Linked DNA regions of Arabidopsis thaliana. The protein of the gene in region 1 interacts with the protein of each later gene in a biochemical or structural test. Each region holds a gene or a part of one and is shown in the gene's direction. Other genes may lie near its edges. The genes, in order: AT2G43160, AT3G08530 and delta-ADR.

Region 1 (7,795 bases):
ATCTCCTCCACCGCCTTATGAATATAAATCACCACCACCTCCGGTTAAGTCTCCTCCACCACCGTATTACTATCATTCACCGCCGCCGCCAGTGAAATCCCCTCCCCCTCCTTATGTTTACAGCTCTCCTCCTCCTCCGGTGAAGTCCCCTCCTCCCCCATACTACTACCATTCACCGCCTCCTCCGGTGAAGTCTCCTCCTCCTCCATACTACTACCATTCACCACCTCCTCCGGTGAAATCCCCACCACCACCATATTACTACCATTCACCACCTCCTCCGGTGAAATCCCCACCACCACCATACTACTACCATTCACCTCCTCCTCCTGTGAAATCTCCTCCTCCTCCATATTATTACCACTCCCCACCTCCTCCGGTGAAATCCCCACCACCACCATACCTTTACAGCTCTCCACCACCACCGGTAAAATCTCCCCCACCTCCTGTCTACATCTACGCTTCTCCCCCACCTCCCACACATTACTAGGCTCATCAAATTCAACAAAATTTCCCCATTATTCAAGTAAGTCCTATACTTATACCTTTACCTCATAATCCGTTTTAATAATTGTGCCCTAAATAAAATCGGAATTTCTTCTTTCACAGGTTTTCTTTTAAAAAATGAAATAAAGGAAGGGTCAAAGTCAAAGAGAAGAAGAAGTGAACCAAATAAGGATCGTGGCGTGGAAATCAGAAACAAAACATCTCTAACAACGATCCACATCACTTCCTCTTCTTCAATGTCGCTCATCTTCCACTTGTGCATCATTATCTTTGCGTCTTCGTCAAGTCAAATTGTTTCCAAGACCCTTTTAGATCGTATCATACTCCTCTTTGTTCCCTTTTGTTGTTAAGTGAAAAAATGGGTTTTGGTAATTTAATTGTTGTGCATACATTTTCTATTTTGTTATTCTTCCGTTAATGTAATGAAAGAGTTGTTAGCATATAAAACAAAGTTCAGTTTCTTCTTTCTTTGGATTATGCGATATACAGTCATAACATTTTCTATCTTAAAACATAGTTCCAACGACAAAAGTAGTTCCAATGACAAAGTTAAAAGACATATTCTTTTAGGTTGGGCACGACATTGTTTCGATCTGTTCGTCCAGAGAAAGTTATCATTGCTTCAAAAGGTGGGAAAGTGGAAGTAACACATCACTTTGATCTCATTGGATCATTAATAATTGTGTTTATGTAATACGTCAGAGACTCACTTTCATTCAACTAATTTCCACCTACTCTTTTTGTTTCAACCTTAAAAAAAAAAAATATTGAGCAATACTATATGCTTAATACAAAACCATTGACTAAAATTAAAGAATGTTGAAATGAATTAATATCAAAGTTATAGTTTATATTCTTCTATTTAATCGAAACATGGAACCAAACAAAAGCAAATGAAAAGCAGCAAGTGCTGAAGAATTGGTTCGAAATAAGTGGAGTGGTTGTACTTTGGGCTTTGGGATAGCATTAGCTGATTTTGAGGCCCATTGGCTAAACGTATTTGGTAATTTGCCTCCAATTTTTTTGTCACCGTCATTTTGTTTGTTGTTTGGCAACGACACCTTCCAAACTTTATCGTTATGCTTAAGTTGATTTTGATAAATTAATTTGATAATGATGAAGTGAAATTCAATGAAGCTAATAAACACAATTTTGATAAATTAATTTGATTTCAACAGTACTGAAATATATAGTATTAGGTCTAGTAGCTTCCAACTCCACTAGACATAAAGCAATTTTGTCCCAACAAAAGTTTTGGAATAAAGCATATTGTATCTTCTCATTTCCAAACTGTATATGAGAATAGAAACTTTATAAAACTGGTTAGACCAAAGTAATAATTATGTTGTTCTCAATTAAACAGCTGTGATTTTTCAAATCCAAACATTATATTGATTTGGAGCGCCTTAATAATATTCTCCGTGTTTAGTTGCGCTGTCTTATTTGTATTATTCTTTTTTTTTTTCACTATTTCATTTTTATTTATTTATTTTATCTGTTGAATTTTCTCTTCTGGCTGCTGTTTTCCTCTCTCTCTCTCTCTAAACTCGAGAATTTTTGTAGAGAGAGGAGGCAAAGTGCGAAAGCTAAACGCAGATCCACGATCAATCTCCTCCACCTTCAAAAGCCTTCAAAAGTGTTTCTTCTTCGTCTTCTTCCTTTTATTATCTGTGCCTTGACAGATCCACGATCCGATTCTGGTCAAATTTTACATTTCTGCAGGTACGATCTTAGCTCTTTTTGTTCTTTCATGTTCATTATTCTTTTTCTGGATCTATTGTTTCCATTTTTAAATTTCCGGTTGATTTTTTTATCTTGTTCGATGTGATTCTATTTTGTGGAGGGATGTTATTAGCTTTAAGATCTGTGTGAGCTGCGTTTTTGAATGTGAATCTTCCTTTTTATTCGATTTTGATTGTTACCGTTTGAATTTTTAGTCTGCTTAGGAGTCGGATTTTGTTGATTTTGACTTCTTCTTTATATCCTTTAATTGTTGCAAAATTCGGAAATTTTGTTACGAGCTGGGGATTTTTTCCACTTCCTTGAGATTGTTTTAGGGTGAATCTGAACAAAGACAAATTCGATCATTGCTGATTGCTTTGTTGCCGTTCCTCAATTCCATGTATCTGGCTCTTACGATTGTGTAATTGAAATGAGATTATGATGAAGAATGATTCGTTTGTTTCTTTTTGTTCTATCTATACATTTGTGGTGATATATATATATATCTTTGTTTGAAACGTTAATAGATAAGCTGCTCATACTAGTTATACAACAGACTCCATAGAAGGTGACATTTGTTTAAGATACTCTTGTTCCTGGAACACATACGAAGATGAAGAAAGTCTTCGGACAAACTGTTAGAGACCTGTAAGTATTTTCGTACCCGAAATTTAATGATATTCTCAATCTGTGTGTGGTTTATTTCTTTTTTCATTGACGGGATGCTTCATTTTATGTTCCATTTATTCAGTAAGAGAGAGGTCAACAAGAAAGTGCTCAAAGTTCCTGGAGTAGAACAGAAGGTAATGGATGCTCTTAGCTTCTTCTCTCTTTTTCTTCTTATCAGAAATTCTTCCGCAGCAGAGATTTAGATACTGTTTTCCATTTTTATGCTTGAGTTTATCAATTTCTTTATTTGTTTCTAAAAGGCTTTTATAAATAGAGAGCTTATCTTGGTTGCATTCATCGTCTTGCTAAACAATGTAAAGCGAGATATCCAACTTTCTCTTATCTTGTTTTGTCTGTGCTTTCTCTTATTCAGGTTCTAGATGCTACTAGTAATGAGCCATGGGGTCCACATGGATCACTTCTTGCTGATCTTGCGCAAGCTTCCAGAAATTAGTAACTACGACCACCTTCCAACTTGCTATATTTTGCTGCGATTTTGGACATTGCACAGGAATTATAAAAACATGTTACTTCTATTTCAGTCATGAATATCAGCTGATCATGGTGGTCATATGGAAACGCCTTAGCGACACCGGAAAAAACTGGCGGCATGTCTATAAGGTAAACAATATTATTGTCTTGCTGGCTTAATTTGTGTTGAATTTCTGTAGCAGTGACTAAAGTATTTCATGCTGTTTACCTCTTCTCTCTCCCCTTCAGGCTTTGACAGTTTTGGAGTACATGGTAGGCCATGGATCAGAACGTGTTATAGACGAGATTAGAGAACGTGCATATCAAATTTCGGTAATGACTACCTTGAGTACATTATTTTGGAAGTATTCAACATCAAGAGAATCCTTTAGTGCTATATCTCAGTAGTTGACTATCTTACTTGTATATATGTCTATTTTCCTTGTGGCAGACATTGTCCGATTTTCAGTATATTGATTCCGGTGGTAGAGATCAAGGAAGCAATGTTAGGAAGAAATCACAGAGCCTGGTGGCTTTGGTGAATGACAAGGAAAGAATAGCTGAAGTCAGACAGAAGGCTGCTGCTAATAGAGATAAGTAAGTTTGCTTGTCATTGTATCTTTCTGGAACTGGTGGATAGTTTTCTCTCTGTGTGAGTCTCGGTGGACACTCGTTTGATTTCTTGTTGCTAGTGGCTTACAATTGTTATTATGCTTCTCGGTAGTCTATTAATTGGTAGTACTGGCACTTTAACTGTATTAGCTTCTGAATTTTGAAAGTTTTTATCTCGAGAAAAAAAAATGACATGTCTTTTGGTTCATTCAAAATATGCTGAACATATCAACCTACATTATTTTACAACAGGTATCGCAGCTCAGCACCAGGTGGGATGTATAAGCCTTCAGGCGGATATGGGGATAAATATGATTACGGAAGCCGGGATGAAGAGCGAAGTAGTTATGGAAGAGAAAGAGAATATGGTTACAGAGATGATGATAGAAATAGTCGTGATGGAGATCGTCATTCCAGGGACTCTGAAGACCGGTATGGGAGAGATGGTAATAGGGATGATGATTACAGGGGAAGGAGCAGAAGTGTTGATAACTATGGGTCACGAGGTAGGAGTTCGGAAAGAGAGCGGGAGGATGATGGCCATTCTTCATCACGGTATGTTAAATTTCAAGTCGCCTAAATCCTGAAATAAAAAAGGAAGGGGAAAATTTTGAAGATTATCAACTCCATTTGGATAGAATATTTTTATTTTGAATACTAGCGTAGATGTCCTTGATTTTAAAAATCATTTCGAACCGCAATCTTCTTAGTCTAGTTCCATTTTCAAATTTTAAATGGATACACTCCTTTTTGTCCTGTAGGGGCAGTGGTGCTCGAGCTGATGATAATTCTCAGGATGGGAGGTAATTTCTGATAAATTTCTACTGAAGTTTAGGCATTCTTTTATTGTATGACAACTCATCTCACCTTCTTTCGGGATTATAATGGTAGAGGGGGGCTCCAGAGGAAGTTTTCTGAACAAAATATTGGCGCTCCACCCAGTTATGAAGAAGCTGTCAGTGATTCACGCAGCCCTGTATATAGTGAAAGGTGATCATTTTCTGCTTTGAAAATTGAAAGCTACCTTGGTTTTTATTGGTGCTGATGAATCTTTCTATGCCAGGGATGGTGGGGAGACCCCACAAGTTACCGCTCCAGGAGCTGCTTCTCCTCCTCCCCCACAAGTTGCTGCTCCAGAGGCTGCTTCTCCTCCAACTGGAACCAACACAGCCAATACAACTGCTACTTTTGTTAATGAATCACCTTCTCAGAAAGTTGAGACTTTCGATGAATTTGATCCACGCAGTGCGTTTTCAGGTACAGAATACTCAAACTCTTGCAATTCTTTAGTTGTATCTTGAGATATTTTCTTAGTTTTTCAAACTCCTCGGCAGCATAGAGATTACATGAAAATCTTTAATCAATAACTATAACTAATTCAGTAAATGTTTCAAGGCTTAGTTGGAGGGTGTATGATTGTATTCTCATGTCTGTATGGTATATTTCTATCCCATTAAACTCTGCTTGTTCTGAGTGTGGCCGTTGTGTTCCTTTACTTTTCCAGCTGGCCCTCCAGCATATGCATCTACAGATGGTGTTACAGCTCCTCCAACTGTGACTTCTATGTCTGCCCCTACCACCTCAAACAGTGTTGAGATGGACTTGCTTGGTTCCCTTGCAGACGTATTTTCATCAAACGCATTGGCCATTGTACCAGCTGATTCTATCTATGTTGAAACCAATGGACAAGCAAACGCTGGTCCAGCTCCATCGTTTTCTACATCTCAGCCATCAACTCAGGTATATACACTGAGCTTGGAGTATGAAGATTATGATGGTTTCCTATGATTATTGATGACTGTTGTTTGGATTATGCAGTCATTTGATGACCCATTTGGTGACTCTCCTTTCAAGGCCTTCACTTCTACTGACACCGACTCAACCCCACAGCAGAATTTTGGAGCTTCTTTCCAGCCACCACCTCCAGCCTTCACTTCAGAGGTCTCACATCCTGATACTGCTCATAACTTTGGCTTTGGGGACTCATTTTCCGCCGTTGCCAATCCTGATCCTGCTTCTCAGAATGTGCAACCTCCATCGAACTCACCAGGTTTTCCTCAAGAGCAATTTGCTACATCTCAGAGTGGTATTGATATCCTCGCTGGCATTCTCCCACCATCTGGACCTCCAGTACAATCGGGTCCCTCAATACCAACATCTCAATTTCCTCCCAGTGGAAACAACATGTACGAGGGATTTCATTCTCAGCCGCCGGTATCTACAGCTCCAAACCTGCCTGGACAAACTCCATTTGGACAAGCTGTTCAACCATATAACATGGTTCCTCATTCTCAAAATATGACTGGAGCCATGCCATTTAATAGTGGAGGCTTCATGCACCAGCCGGGCTCACAAACTCCTTACTCTACCCCAAGTGGACCAGCTGGTCAGTTCATGGCACACCAAGGTCATGGAATGCCGCCATCCCATGGTCCACAACGAACTCAATCCGGACCTGTTACTCTGCAAGGGAACAACAATGTCATGGGAGACATGTTCTCGCAAGCTACGCCCAACTCCTTGACGTCATCATCATCTCATCCAGATCTCACACCTTTAACAGGAGCAATTGAGATTGTTCCTCCGCCTCAGAAAAAGTTTGAGCCAAAATCATCAGTCTGGGCAGACACGTTGAGCAGGGGGCTTGTTAACTTTAACATATCTGGATGTAAGATAGATTTCACCATACCATTTAAGGAAAAAAAAACGTCTTTAGCAAACTTTCTAACATTGTTTTTGTTTTTCTACTTATCGCAGCTAAAACAAATCCATTGGCAGACATAGGAGTTGACTTCGAGGCGATCAACAGGAGAGAGAAACGGCTGGAGAAACAAACAAACACACCAGCAACATCGACTATCAATATGGGTAAAGCCATGGGATCAGGCACTGGCTTAGGGCGTTCTGGTGCAACTGCTATGAGACCTCCACCTAATCCAATGACAGGCTCTGGCATGCCCATGGGCGGAGGAATGGGTGTTGGTAGCTACGGAGGTATGAACCAGAACCAACCCATGGGTATGGGTATGGGGGCCGGAATGAACCAAAACCAACCGATGGGTATGGGAATGGGACCCGGCATGAACATGAACATGAACATGGGAGGATATGGCCAAGGCTATCCGATGCAACCACAAAACCCAGGGATGGTACCTAGCCCAAACATGCCTGGCAATAACTACAATCCGATGATGGGTCAAGGTGGTTACAACCCTCAACAATCCTATGGTGGTGGATACCGGTAAGATCAAGCCAAACATGATGCACTTGACTTCATTCGTGTAATCAAGAATACGCTCGCCTGTGCTTTTTCTTTACTCTGGGATATGTAATATCAGTCGATAAAAGTACTCAGGTTACATTATTCATCCAGGCAACACGGCTCCACGAATTTTCTTCTCTGTTTGTTCTTGCCTTACTCGTCACTCATCATTCATTTTTATTTTTTTCTGGTTTGGACCAAATTGAGAGCTTGTTGTGAAATTTGTACCAGTGTGAGAGTGGCAAACCTTGCTCGGGTCTGCCCTTTTTTTGTTATATGCATATAATTTGATATATACACATTCACTTCTATTTCTTTATTTTGAAGATGTGTAATACATTTCTCATTCACGGAACAAATAAAATCTTTACATTTTTGTATTCTCTTTTTAAATGTTTCCCGGCTGTATTTACTTTTTCTTCACTAGGTGTGTGTCATTCTAGAAAGACTTGGATTCTGTCACCTGCAGTGTCTTTAAAATCTAACAAAATTTTCCCTCCGACCTCATCTGCTGCATCGTCCATCAATTGCTTCAAGTTCACGCCTCCTAAA
Region 2 (4,978 bases), on another chromosome or scaffold:
AAACATGTGTTTAGTGCCTTGAAGAGCTATAGCTTTGTCGCAAATATGCAATGGGATAACTAACTAACCTCTTCGCTTGCTTCTCCTCAAGCTCTTTCGTCCTGTATATTACTTTAACACCCTGCAAGAGACATGGGACTACATTTATCGAAAACTGCATACCTTAAATACAAATTTATACCTACAGGACTAAAGAGCTAGAGATATACAGCCAAAACAAAATAAACAGTGGACGCGAAGAGAGGTAGTTCAACTCACAGGAATAGACTCGAGCACTTTAGAAATACTCGGAGTAGCAGCTTTCCCTTCAACGAAAAGGAAGAATGTTGAGACGCCTAGAACCTTATGGTAGAACATCCATGGTAGAATCTGATCCAATCCAGCTGATGTGCTAGTCGTGATACATATCTGTAAACAGTAACAATGTCAAGAATCATATACAACATGGAGCACAAAAAGTGAGGTGACTTTACAAAGACAGATCTGATCAAAAAATGAACTTTGGTATTTCTCAAATCTCTATAATCCAATAAAAAAAGAACAACTTGATATTTCAGATTAGACATTGTAGTAAGATTTAAGAAAAAAAAAAGGAATTTGGAAGTGTAGATCGATCCAAAGACTTGAAATCAGGGGAATTGAAAGTAGTAACCTTAGGCTTTAAGCTAGTATCAACACCAAACTTCCAATCAGCATAGTAAGGAAAAGAAGGAGAAGAGCTGCGAGCTAGATTTGAGCAGTCGGAGGAGGATTGGTGAGACTTTGGGGAGACAGATGAAACAGTCTCCATGCCGGGAAAGACCTCGTGATTGAGATCGGAGCCGCCAGGAACCGACGTAGAGGAACGAACAGAAGCAGAGGCAGGATCGGCGAGACCACCGCCTCGCCATTGGAGGATAAAGGCGAGACAAGCAAGGGAAACTGGAAGTAGAGTAAGGAGAAGGAGGAGCCTAGAGACGAATGAATGGTTTTGGGAAGAAGATGAAGATGAGGAAGAAGCAGATATTAGTGGAGCTCTGTGATGGTGAGTCGATTTCATGGTTAGCTCCACCACTTTGAAAAACAAAAAAAAGTTTCGGAGGAAGAAGACGAAGAAGAAGAAGAAAGACGCGATTCTGAGATCTTTCTTTTTATTTTATTTTCGTGTTTTGGTCGTCTGAGATCTCATCGGTAAAATTAAACTTTACTAACTAAATCTAATTGATTATCAATTCATCTCATTTTATTATGTATAAAAATTGGGAGATTTTCTTCCATTTTTTTTCTTAATCTTTCTCAACTGGATTTGAATTGATAGATTGGAAACATGTACCAACACAAAGAACAGAAGCAATTACACAGGGAGAAACAAATCTCCACACACTAAGCCACTATAAGCTAATAACAACAATAACCTATACAAAACAACAGAGCCATATAACAAAAAAAAAACCAATTCAACCAGGGGAAATGACTCTTTCATCACAGAAAACTGAATGGAACCAAGACGGATGACTTGATGCAACATACAATTGCAACCTGCAATCATCAGTGATACTCTATGACATAATATTCCTTCTTCTTTTGGATCAGATTAATTAAGTTTTGTTTCTAATTATTAAGTCATGACACTTCTTCCATTCTTAATTATTAAGTTTTTTTTTTCTTGTATCAAATCTTTAATTATTAAGTTTTTTAAAAAAAATTATTAAAAGTCATGACACTTCTTCCATTCTTAATTATTAAGTTTTTTTCTTGGATCAAATCTTAATTATTAAGTCATTTATTGTTGTTTCACCTAAGGTACCTTCATTTAAAAGCACCAATTAAAATATTTCACGTGTCGTCTCATTAGAAATTCGGATGCTTAGAGCCCAGTAAGGACCGATATGGGCCGGACCTGGTTATAAATGTAAGACTCTAATTGGATCGCTGTTCGTCATTACTTACCCATATATATTTGTTATTCTTCTTTTCTCAATTTTCTTTCTCTTTCCATCACCTTTCTCGTTCACTTGCTTCAGATCTGGCAGCGATTTCATTTCTTCTCCAGTCTTTCTCTCGTCTCGGTTCTATCTCCTGGCCATTGGCGGTCAGGACTTCTCAGCCGTATATTTGATTCCGTCCCCGGATTTACTCTTGCTGTGATCTGAGGTCAAACATGGCGGCTGCCAACGCCCCCATCACGATGAAGGAGGTCCTGACGGTGAGTTCTCCTTACTCTTCACTCTTATCTTTGAATATTTAGATGTGTATCTCCTGGAATCGACCGTGATTTTCTACGATTAAGCTCTGTTCAGTCTCTTGATTGATTGATTCCAGTTTCCTACTGATCTGAATTCTGCTCGATCGTTGTGTTACTCTCTAGTTTTTCCGGATCGCTTGTTTGGGAATGCATGTTTCTGATCAGATTTCTCTAACTATGCTCAGATCTGTGTTTCGTTAATATATCAATGCCGAATTTCAAGTTGTTGTCTGTAGCAATGTGCTTATGTACTCGGATCTCATAACTAAATAAATGAACTATTTGACGTAACGCTTCATCTTGATTTTTCCAGCTTCCGAGCATCGGGATCAATCAGCAATTCATCACGTTTACAAATGTTACTATGGAGTCTGACAAGTATATCTGTGTACGAGAGACGTCACCGCAAAACAGTGTTGTAATTATAGATATGAATATGCCGATGCAGCCTCTTAGGAGGCCTATTACTGCAGACTCTGCTCTTATGAACCCAAACTCGAAGATCCTTGCCTTGAAAGGTACTTGATTTTTTCCTTTGATCTAAAACCCATAACGGTTTCCTCGAATTCGTAGTTCATAATCCACTTATCTTGATGTTCACTTTTTACTTCAATATTTATGTAGCTCAAGTTCCAGGAACTACTCAGGATCATCTACAGATATTTAACATTGAAGCCAAAGCAAAGTTGAAATCACATCAGATGCCTGAGCAGGTGAGTGTTGATGCAAATATATTTGAACTCCATTATCGTTCCTGCTATACACTTCGTATAACTCTGAATTTTTCAGTCGGGTTTTTTTTTGGATAATAATGTTTCATGTTTTTACAGGTTGTCTTTTGGAAGTGGATTACACCAAAGATGTTGGGGCTGGTCACACAGAATTCCGTCTATCATTGGTCAATTGAAGGTTGTATATTTCAGCCTACTGTCATTTTCTTCATATCTTGTGTTTTCGTTTCTAATTTTCCTTCGGGTTTTATAGGTGATTCTGAGCCAGTTAAGATGTTTGATAGAACAGCCAATTTGGCCAACAATCAAATTATAAACTATAAGTGCTCTCCTAATGAGAAGTGGTTGGTTTTAATTGGAATTGCTCCTGGCTCTCCTGAGGTAAGTTTACTGCGCCACATATTAGGTCAAAAAAAGACATCAAAACTGCTTTCATGTTGTAGATTCTTGACTGATCTTGTCATTATTATCTGTTTTCTGTAGAGACAACAATTGGTAAAAGGAAATATGCAGCTTTTCTCTGTGGATCAACAGCGGAGTCAGGCCCTTGAGGCACATGCTGCATCGTTTGCGCAGTTTAAGGTAACGTCTTTGTTCTTTGGTGAGTTCATCTATGGTCTAATCTTGAACTGTAGTTTGACTTGCAACACTATTAATATTAGGTTCCTGGGAATGAGAATCCTTCTATTCTTATATCATTTGCAAGCAAGAGCTTTAATGCTGGGCAGATAACATCAAAGTTGCATGTCATTGAGCTTGGTGCCCAACCTGGTTAGCTCCCCGACGCAAAACTATATCTTCACTGTTATTTAATATAATTGGTTACGTTTTCTAGGTTGTATTCATCTGATCTTTAAAGGTTGGCGATTTTTTTGCAGGAAAACCATCATTTACAAAAAAACAAGCAGATCTCTTTTTTCCCCCTGATTTTGCTGATGATTTTCCTGTTGCCATGCAGGTTTGCTATTGCATTAGAATTTCAGTTATATGTGTAAGTAGTTAGTGACAATTTCTGGCACTAATTTCTCATTTTCCTGACAGGTCTCTCACAAATTTAACTTGATATATGTTATCACCAAACTTGGCCTGTTGTTTGTGTACGATCTAGAGACTGCTTCTGCTATCTACAGAAATCGGATTAGTCCAGACCCAATTTTCTTGACTTCTGAAGCTTCCTCAGTTGGGGGTTTCTATGCCATTAATAGGCGAGGACAAGTTCTTTTGGCTACAGTAAACGAGGCTACCATTATACCTTTTATTAGTGGCCAAGTATGCTAATCTTTTATGCTATTTTCCCGTTATAACCTACCCTTTTCATCATGTCATGCTAAGAAATCTATGCTTTTGTATCACAGTTGAACAATTTGGAGCTTGCTGTCAATCTTGCTAAAAGAGGAAACCTCCCAGGTGCAGAAAATCTGGTATGCGATGTTTATCATGGATCTGTTGTCTCGGTGAAGTAATTATATAGTTGTTAAATGGCAGCTTGAAGAAAAAAAATGTCATTTGGTATTGTGAAGTTTCTCATATTCTGCTCGGATGTTGTAGGTTGTCCAGCGGTTCCAGGAGTTGTTCGCTCAAACAAAGTACAAGGAGGCTGCTGAGCTTGCTGCTGAATCTCCTCAAGGAATTCTAAGGACACCTGATACAGTGGCCAAATTCCAGGTGTCTATTTCATATCCAAGCAACTATGTGTAAACATGTTTATTTATGATGAAATGTTGGTAACACCAATTTTTCAACTCTATAATTTTGCAGAGTGTTCCTGTACAAGCTGGACAAACTCCTCCATTGTTACAGTATTTTGGGACTCTTTTGACTAGAGGGAAACTCAATTCATATGAGTCACTGGAACTATCTCGGCTGGTTGTGAACCAAAACAAGAAGAACCTCCTGGAAAACTGGTTGGCAGAGGATAAACTAGAATGCAGTGAAGAACTTGGAGACCTTGTGAAGGTAATCTTGAAATGGACGATTTTATTCAAAATGTGTGATATGTCTCCTATGGTGTGTTGTGACGATA
Region 3 (5,763 bases), on another chromosome or scaffold:
ACAATATTGAAGCAACTGCATTACTAAAAGAACAAACAGCTGGAGATTACAATTAGTGAATGAATGATAAGATTCCCAGTAATCTGCTTTACAACAATAACAACAAAGGATCAGAAACCAGAAAAATTGCTAAACTTGAGAATGTCTCAAAGAGTAGAACAAGAACAGAGAGATACATATTATCCTACAGAGTAAAAACCTTTCATGTTGTTTCCTAAGCTCCATTATACGAATCAATCGTCACTTCTTCTTCATTCAACCACAATCCTGGAAAAATCGTCTGCAAAAACAAACACAAGAACACAATTTAGCAATCATCCAAAAAAAAAATCAAGCAACCAAAAATTAAACAAGAGAAGATTGTTAACTTACATTCAATTTCTTCTGAACAAGCCTTGGTCTCTTCTTAGGTCTCTTGGGAGGTTTTTTCCCAAAAACAAAGGAGAAATCTTGTTCAATTTCATCTCTCGACAACGCAATAGAGAATTTCGATTTCTCATTCTTCTTATCTCCTCCTCCATCTTCATTATCGATGATACTTCTTCTCTTATTAACGCCAATTTCAATTTCTTCTCCAGGTTCACTACACGCAGCTCTTCTCATCCTCAAATTCCATGGCTTAGCCGCCGCAACTACCTCCCCGTTCTTCGCTCCTCCTCCTCCTCCTCTTGTAAGAGAAACTCCAGCTATGGAGACGGATCTATTGGTGGCTGCGTGATCGGGAGAGGAAGAAGAAGGAGGAGGAGATGGTAGATTGACGCATCTGAGGAATCTTTGTTGACCCCAACGGAGTTGAGGCAAAGAGAAGTTGTGGAGACGTTTCGATCTTTCAAAAGGAGGCTCCATTGTTACGTCTTCTTCTTCTTCTTCTTCGATTTTTTTTGTTGAGAGCTTCGAGAGAGAGAGAGCAGTTCAAAGTTTTTTTTTCCCGTACTTATTCTCAGAGTTATTTTATTCGTTTTCCTTCTTTTTTTTCCATTGTCGAAATTATTTGTAACGTTGTGCGATTTATATATAGAACACAAAAACCAACTTGTAAAAGGAAAATAACAAAAAAAAAATAGAAGTGATAAGCACTAAAAATTGATATATTCTTAATATTTCAATTAATCCTAATTTACGAGTTTTTTTTATATATAAAATATGAAATGTATTTACATGTTGGACACTTGGGGCTGATTTTTTTTTTTTTTTTTTTGAAATGTTTGAATTATTTAGCAAAACCATTGTAATATAATATAACATCTTCCTTCATGTAGAGAAGTGACACTATCTAAATTAGTCGATATGTTTCGAAGATGTAAATTTAGCGCCAAAAATAGAGTTTAATAGTTTTTTAAATTATAAAAAAATGAAATTACCACAACTTTAATGCAAAAATCTATTTTAACGTAAAATAAAAATACATCTATAAAAACTATGACCTGATTAATAATATAGTTGAAATATCTTTGAATTTATATAATAGTTTTGTATCCAAATTCCAAACTATCATTACACAAAATGCAACATCAAATTTTTGCATTGAAATTCACATGATTAATTTTAGATTTGACAAACGCATACATATAATTTCTTCATTTTCCAAATGTTGGAAAATATGTCATTAAATTCATTAAGGCCCACTAGTTTCTACTATAAAAAAGCCCACAAACTCAATAAGCCATTAAAGCCCACAAAGCCCTTTTTCTTGCCTTACTTCCTTCTTCCCTCTCCGATGAGATCGCGAGTTTGGGCAACGCCGATCAGCTTGAAAAGCCCTCGGAATCTCATCTTCCCAACATCAATTGATGGCTCCTTTCAATTTCCAACTACAGTTTTAAGACCTAACCACTAAGAAGGATCTCTTCAAAACCACGAGAATCATCAATGTCGTCGTCTTCCACTTCTATAATGGACAACTTGTTCCAACGAAGTCTCGAGGATCTAATCAAAGGCTTTCGTCTCCAGCTTCTCGGAGAATCCAATTTCATTTCTAGAGCCGTTGAAGAAATCCGCCGCGAGATCAAAGCCACAGATCTCTCAACTAAATCCACCGCTCTTCACAAGCTCTCTTACCTCGCCGCACTTCACGGCGTCGACATGTCTTGGGCCGCGTTTCACGCCGTAGAAGTCGTGTCTTCTTCACGATTCCAACACAAGAGGATCGGTTACCAAGCAATTACTCAATCATTCAACGATCAGACCTCGGTTATGCTTCTGATCACTAACCAGGTGAGAAAGGATTTGAATAGTGCTAATGAATACGAGGTTAGTCTAGCTTTGGAATGTTTGTCTAGGATCGGAACTCATGACCTAGCTAGAGATTTGACTCCTGAAGTGTTTACTCTCCTGGGTAGTAGTAAATCTTTCGTGAAGAAGAAAGCAATTGGTGTGGTTTTGAGGGTTTTTGAGAAGTATCATGATGCTGTTAAGGTGTGTTTTAAACGTCTAGTTGAGAATCTTGAAACCTCTGATCCGCAGATTCTGTCTGCTGTAGTTGGAGTGTTCTGTGAGCTTGCTACAAAGGATCCTCAGTCTTGTCTTCCTTTAGCTCCTGAGTTCTATAAAGTATTGGTTGATTCAAGGAATAATTGGGTTCTGATCAAGGTTCTTAAGATATTTGCTAAGTTGGCCTTGATTGAACCGAGATTGGGTAAGAAGGTTGCTGAGCCGATTTGTGAACATATGAGGAGGACTGTGGCAAAGTCTCTGGTTTTTGAGTGTGTTCGAACCGTGGTGAGTAGCTTGAGTGATAACGAAGCGGCTGTGAAACTTGCTGTTGCAAAGATCCGGGAGTTTCTGGTGGAAGATGATCCAAATCTTAAGTATCTCGGTCTTAACGCCTTGTCGATTGTTGCTCCTAAGCATTTGTGGGCAGTTTTGGAGAACAAAGAGGTAGTCGTCAAGGCTATGAGCGATGAGGATCCAAATGTTAAACTCGAGGCATTGCATCTCTTAATGGCAATGGTGAATGAAGATAATGTGTCGGAAATCTCCAGGATTCTTATGAATTATGCACTCAAGTCAGACCCTTTGTTCTGCAATGAGATTATTTTTTCTGTCTTATCGGCATGCTCCAGGAATGCATATGAGATCATAGTTGACTTTGATTGGTATTTGTCTCTTCTTGGTGAAATGGCTAGAATCCCACATTGTCAAAGAGGGGAAGATATTGAGCATCAGTTGATCGATATCGGTATGAGGGTCAGAGATGCTAGACCACAGCTAGTCCGTGTTTCTTGGGCACTGCTCATTGATCCTGCATTGCTCGGTAACTTGTTCTTACACCCTATACTATCTGCAGCTGCGTGGGTTTCAGGTGAATACGTTGAGTTCTCTAAGAATCCGTATGAAACTGTGGAGGCGCTTCTGCAACCACGAACTGATCTCTTACCCCCCTCCATAAAAGCTATCTATATACATTCAGCTTTCAAAGTTCTTGTCTTCTGTCTGGGGTCTTACTTCTCGTCCCAGGAACCCACTTCGTCATCCTTGGCTCAGGAATCAAGTTCTGGCTCTTTGTTGGTGAATGTTTTCACACATGAATCTATATTGAGTCTGGTGAATGTGATTGAGCTTGGTTTGGGGCCTTTATCTGGATACCATGATGTGGAAGTGCAGGAGAGAGCTAAGAATGTTTTAGGATACATCAGTGTGATAAAGCAAGAAATAGCTGAGCAATTAAATCTCCAAGACAACGAAACAGAAGCTTCTAGAGTTACAGCATTCATGGAAGATGTGTTCTCAGAAGAGTTTGGTCCTATTTCTGCAACTGCACAAGAAAAGGTTTGTGTACCGGATGGGTTAGAGCTGAAAGAGAATCTCGGGGATCTGGAGGAGATCTGTGGGGAACATCTTAAACCCGTGGAATCGGATTCGGTTTCATACACAGACAAGATCAGCTTCTCTGTCTCCAAACTCAGAATCAGAGATCAACAAGAAGCCACTTCATCTTCATCTCCTCCACATGAAGCTTCATCTCTGCTAGCTGAACACCGTAAACGCCATGGAATGTATTATCTTACTTCTCAAAAGGAGGATCAAGATAGCAACGGCACGTCAAGCGATTATCCTCTGGCAAATGAATTAGCAAACGAGATATCCCAGGATTCATTTAACCCCAAGAGAAAGCCAAACCAATCTAAACCACGGCCTGTAGTGGTGAAACTAGACGATGGAGATGAATCAAGAATCACTCCTCAAGCAAAAACAAATATACAGACTGCTAATGATGATGAATCTTTGTCCCGAGCGATCCAAAGCGCTCTTCTGGTAAAGAACAAGGGAAAAGAAAAAGATAGGTACGAGGGAAATCCGAATTCAGGACAACAGGAAAAAGAAGAGAGCTCGAGGATAGAAAATCATCAGAACTCAGAGAAGAAGAAGAAGAAGAAAAAGAAGAAGAAGGGAGAGGGAAGTAGTAAGCACAAATCACGACGGCAAAATGAAGTAGCTTCTGCTTCAGAACAAGTTATAATTCCAGATTTTCTCTTGTGATGGAGTGAAAAATCAGTTTGTGTTCTTTTAAAATATGTCTTTGTTCATACAGAAACCAAACAAAATGTCTTGTGTAATTCTTTTTGTGTATAGACTTTCATGTATTGGTTTCTTGGTTTCTGTCATAATTTATAAGAGAGATCCGACGAAACATATTTCTAAAGTATATTTCATATTTTATAAGATAGAAAACATAACATTCAAGCATGATGATGATAATCATCAATCATCAATCATCAATCATCATCACTTCATTTATTATTCTAAATAGTAGTGACGAAGATAAGACCAGCATTAACCACTATAATCAGCGAAACTTGTCACTAATTAATCATGATTAACATTTCCTTAACAGCTTGGGGAAGGAATCTTGCAACTGTTGGAGACTTTCCTTGCGTTAGGGGAGCTAACGTATTGGCGGAGGGTAGGGTTCCTCATGTACCCACAAAGGCATGGCTGCTGCTCTCTCAGCTTTGTGCAACACGCCTCCGATGGCGGCGACGATGACGTCATCGCCGCCGCACATGAAGCCAGCTGCATAGGCGAGCACGTCACCCCTTCTGCCACCGGGACCGTCAAAAGGAGAATCGCCGCCGCCAGAGCTAAAACGGAAACCCACATCACCTTCACCATTTTTCTTCTTCGTTGATTCTCTGTTTGTGTTTGTGTTTGTTCTGTTTTCAGTATGTGTCTTCAAGCCATCCCTTCTATTTATAGGGGATAGAAAGTGTGATAAAAGCTTTCTTCTTTTCTTTTTTTTTATCACTTGAAAGAGTTAACTTTATTTATTATCATTCATTGAGCCATTGAGGATTACAACTTACAACGGTGGGATAGTATTTTGATACATGAAGCCGGCAAGGATCAAACCCTTCCAAAAACTAAGCCGGTGAAAGACAAATTTATCTCCGGATACTAAGCTAAAAAAAAGCTATAAAGAGAGAATAAAAGCTACGACTTAAAACAATAACTCCAAAGATCAAGACTTACCATTGTACCACAATAACCAAAGCTAAACACTAAAAACATCTTTGTCCAAAAAAACAACAACACTAAAAACATCTTTGTTTGCTTCAACTGATCTTGTTACTTTTAGCAAAACCTCATTACTACTAATTAGAGTGATCCATGCTAGGACAACAAGCAACAATTGATTCGTCTCATACGAAATAAATTTATATGTTTTCACTGAAGACAAAGCTTCTCCTTTTTTATTTTATTTTATTAAAATCTCCGAACAAAAAGTTTCATTTTTACGTAAAATTTTAAATATATTTAATATTT

What was found.
Region 2: the proteins of AT2G43160 (region 1) and AT3G08530 form a complex in vitro, tested with the Arabidopsis thaliana proteins (one study listed by BioGRID).
Region 3: the proteins of AT2G43160 (region 1) and delta-ADR form a complex in vitro, tested with the Arabidopsis thaliana proteins (one study listed by BioGRID).

Annotation. Positions count from the first base shown.
Region 1 is NC_003071.7:17,946,042-17,953,836, forward strand, and holds AT2G43160 (ENTH/VHS family protein), read left to right. Parts: upstream 1-1,758; 5' UTR 1,759-2,229; intron 2,230-2,311; exon of another isoform or gene 2,312-2,629; intron 2,630-2,756; exon of another isoform or gene 2,757-2,785; 5' UTR 2,786-2,842; coding exon 2,843-2,877; intron 2,878-2,980; coding exon 2,981-3,032; intron 3,033-3,271; coding exon 3,272-3,351; intron 3,352-3,440; coding exon 3,441-3,519; intron 3,520-3,618; coding exon 3,619-3,702; intron 3,703-3,820; coding exon 3,821-3,966; intron 3,967-4,233; coding exon 4,234-4,536; intron 4,537-4,742; coding exon 4,743-4,784; intron 4,785-4,872; coding exon 4,873-4,971; intron 4,972-5,044; coding exon 5,045-5,238; intron 5,239-5,485; coding exon 5,486-5,721; intron 5,722-5,799; coding exon 5,800-6,649; intron 6,650-6,738; coding exon 6,739-7,226; 3' UTR 7,227-7,628; downstream 7,629-7,795. Other genes in the region: AT2G43150 (Proline-rich extensin-like family protein), read left to right, coding at 1-490; AT2G43180 (Phosphoenolpyruvate carboxylase family protein), read right to left, coding at 7,678-7,795. UniProt on the Arabidopsis thaliana protein: May have a role in transport via clathrin-coated vesicles from the trans-Golgi network to endosomes. Stimulates clathrin assembly. Binds to membranes enriched in phosphatidylinositol 3-phosphate (PtdIns(3)P). Plays an important role in protein trafficking.
Region 2 is NC_003074.8:2,592,574-2,597,551, reverse strand, and holds the start of AT3G08530 (Clathrin, heavy chain), read left to right. Parts: upstream 1-1,897; 5' UTR 1,898-2,140; coding exon 2,141-2,185; intron 2,186-2,537; coding exon 2,538-2,742; intron 2,743-2,848; coding exon 2,849-2,937; intron 2,938-3,054; coding exon 3,055-3,133; intron 3,134-3,208; coding exon 3,209-3,336; intron 3,337-3,438; coding exon 3,439-3,537; intron 3,538-3,617; coding exon 3,618-3,726; intron 3,727-3,833; coding exon 3,834-3,913; intron 3,914-3,996; coding exon 3,997-4,224; intron 4,225-4,310; coding exon 4,311-4,376; intron 4,377-4,503; coding exon 4,504-4,620; intron 4,621-4,713; coding exon 4,714-4,911; intron 4,912-4,978. Other genes in the region: KOB1 (elongation defective 1 protein / ELD1 protein), read right to left, coding at 69-121, 259-408, 653-1,039.
Region 3 is NC_003070.9:18,035,368-18,041,130, reverse strand, and holds delta-ADR (delta-adaptin), read left to right. Parts: upstream 1-1,725; 5' UTR 1,726-1,869; coding exon 1,870-4,479; 3' UTR 4,480-4,827; coding exon of another isoform or gene 4,828-5,112; 3' UTR 5,113-5,164; downstream 5,165-5,763. Other genes in the region: AT1G48770 (hypothetical protein (DUF1639)), read right to left, coding at 215-280, 373-846; AT1G48750 (Bifunctional inhibitor/lipid-transfer protein/seed storage 2S albumin superfamily protein), read right to left, coding at 4,828-5,112. UniProt on the Arabidopsis thaliana protein: Part of the AP-3 complex, an adaptor-related complex which seems to be clathrin-associated. The complex is associated with the Golgi region as well as more peripheral structures.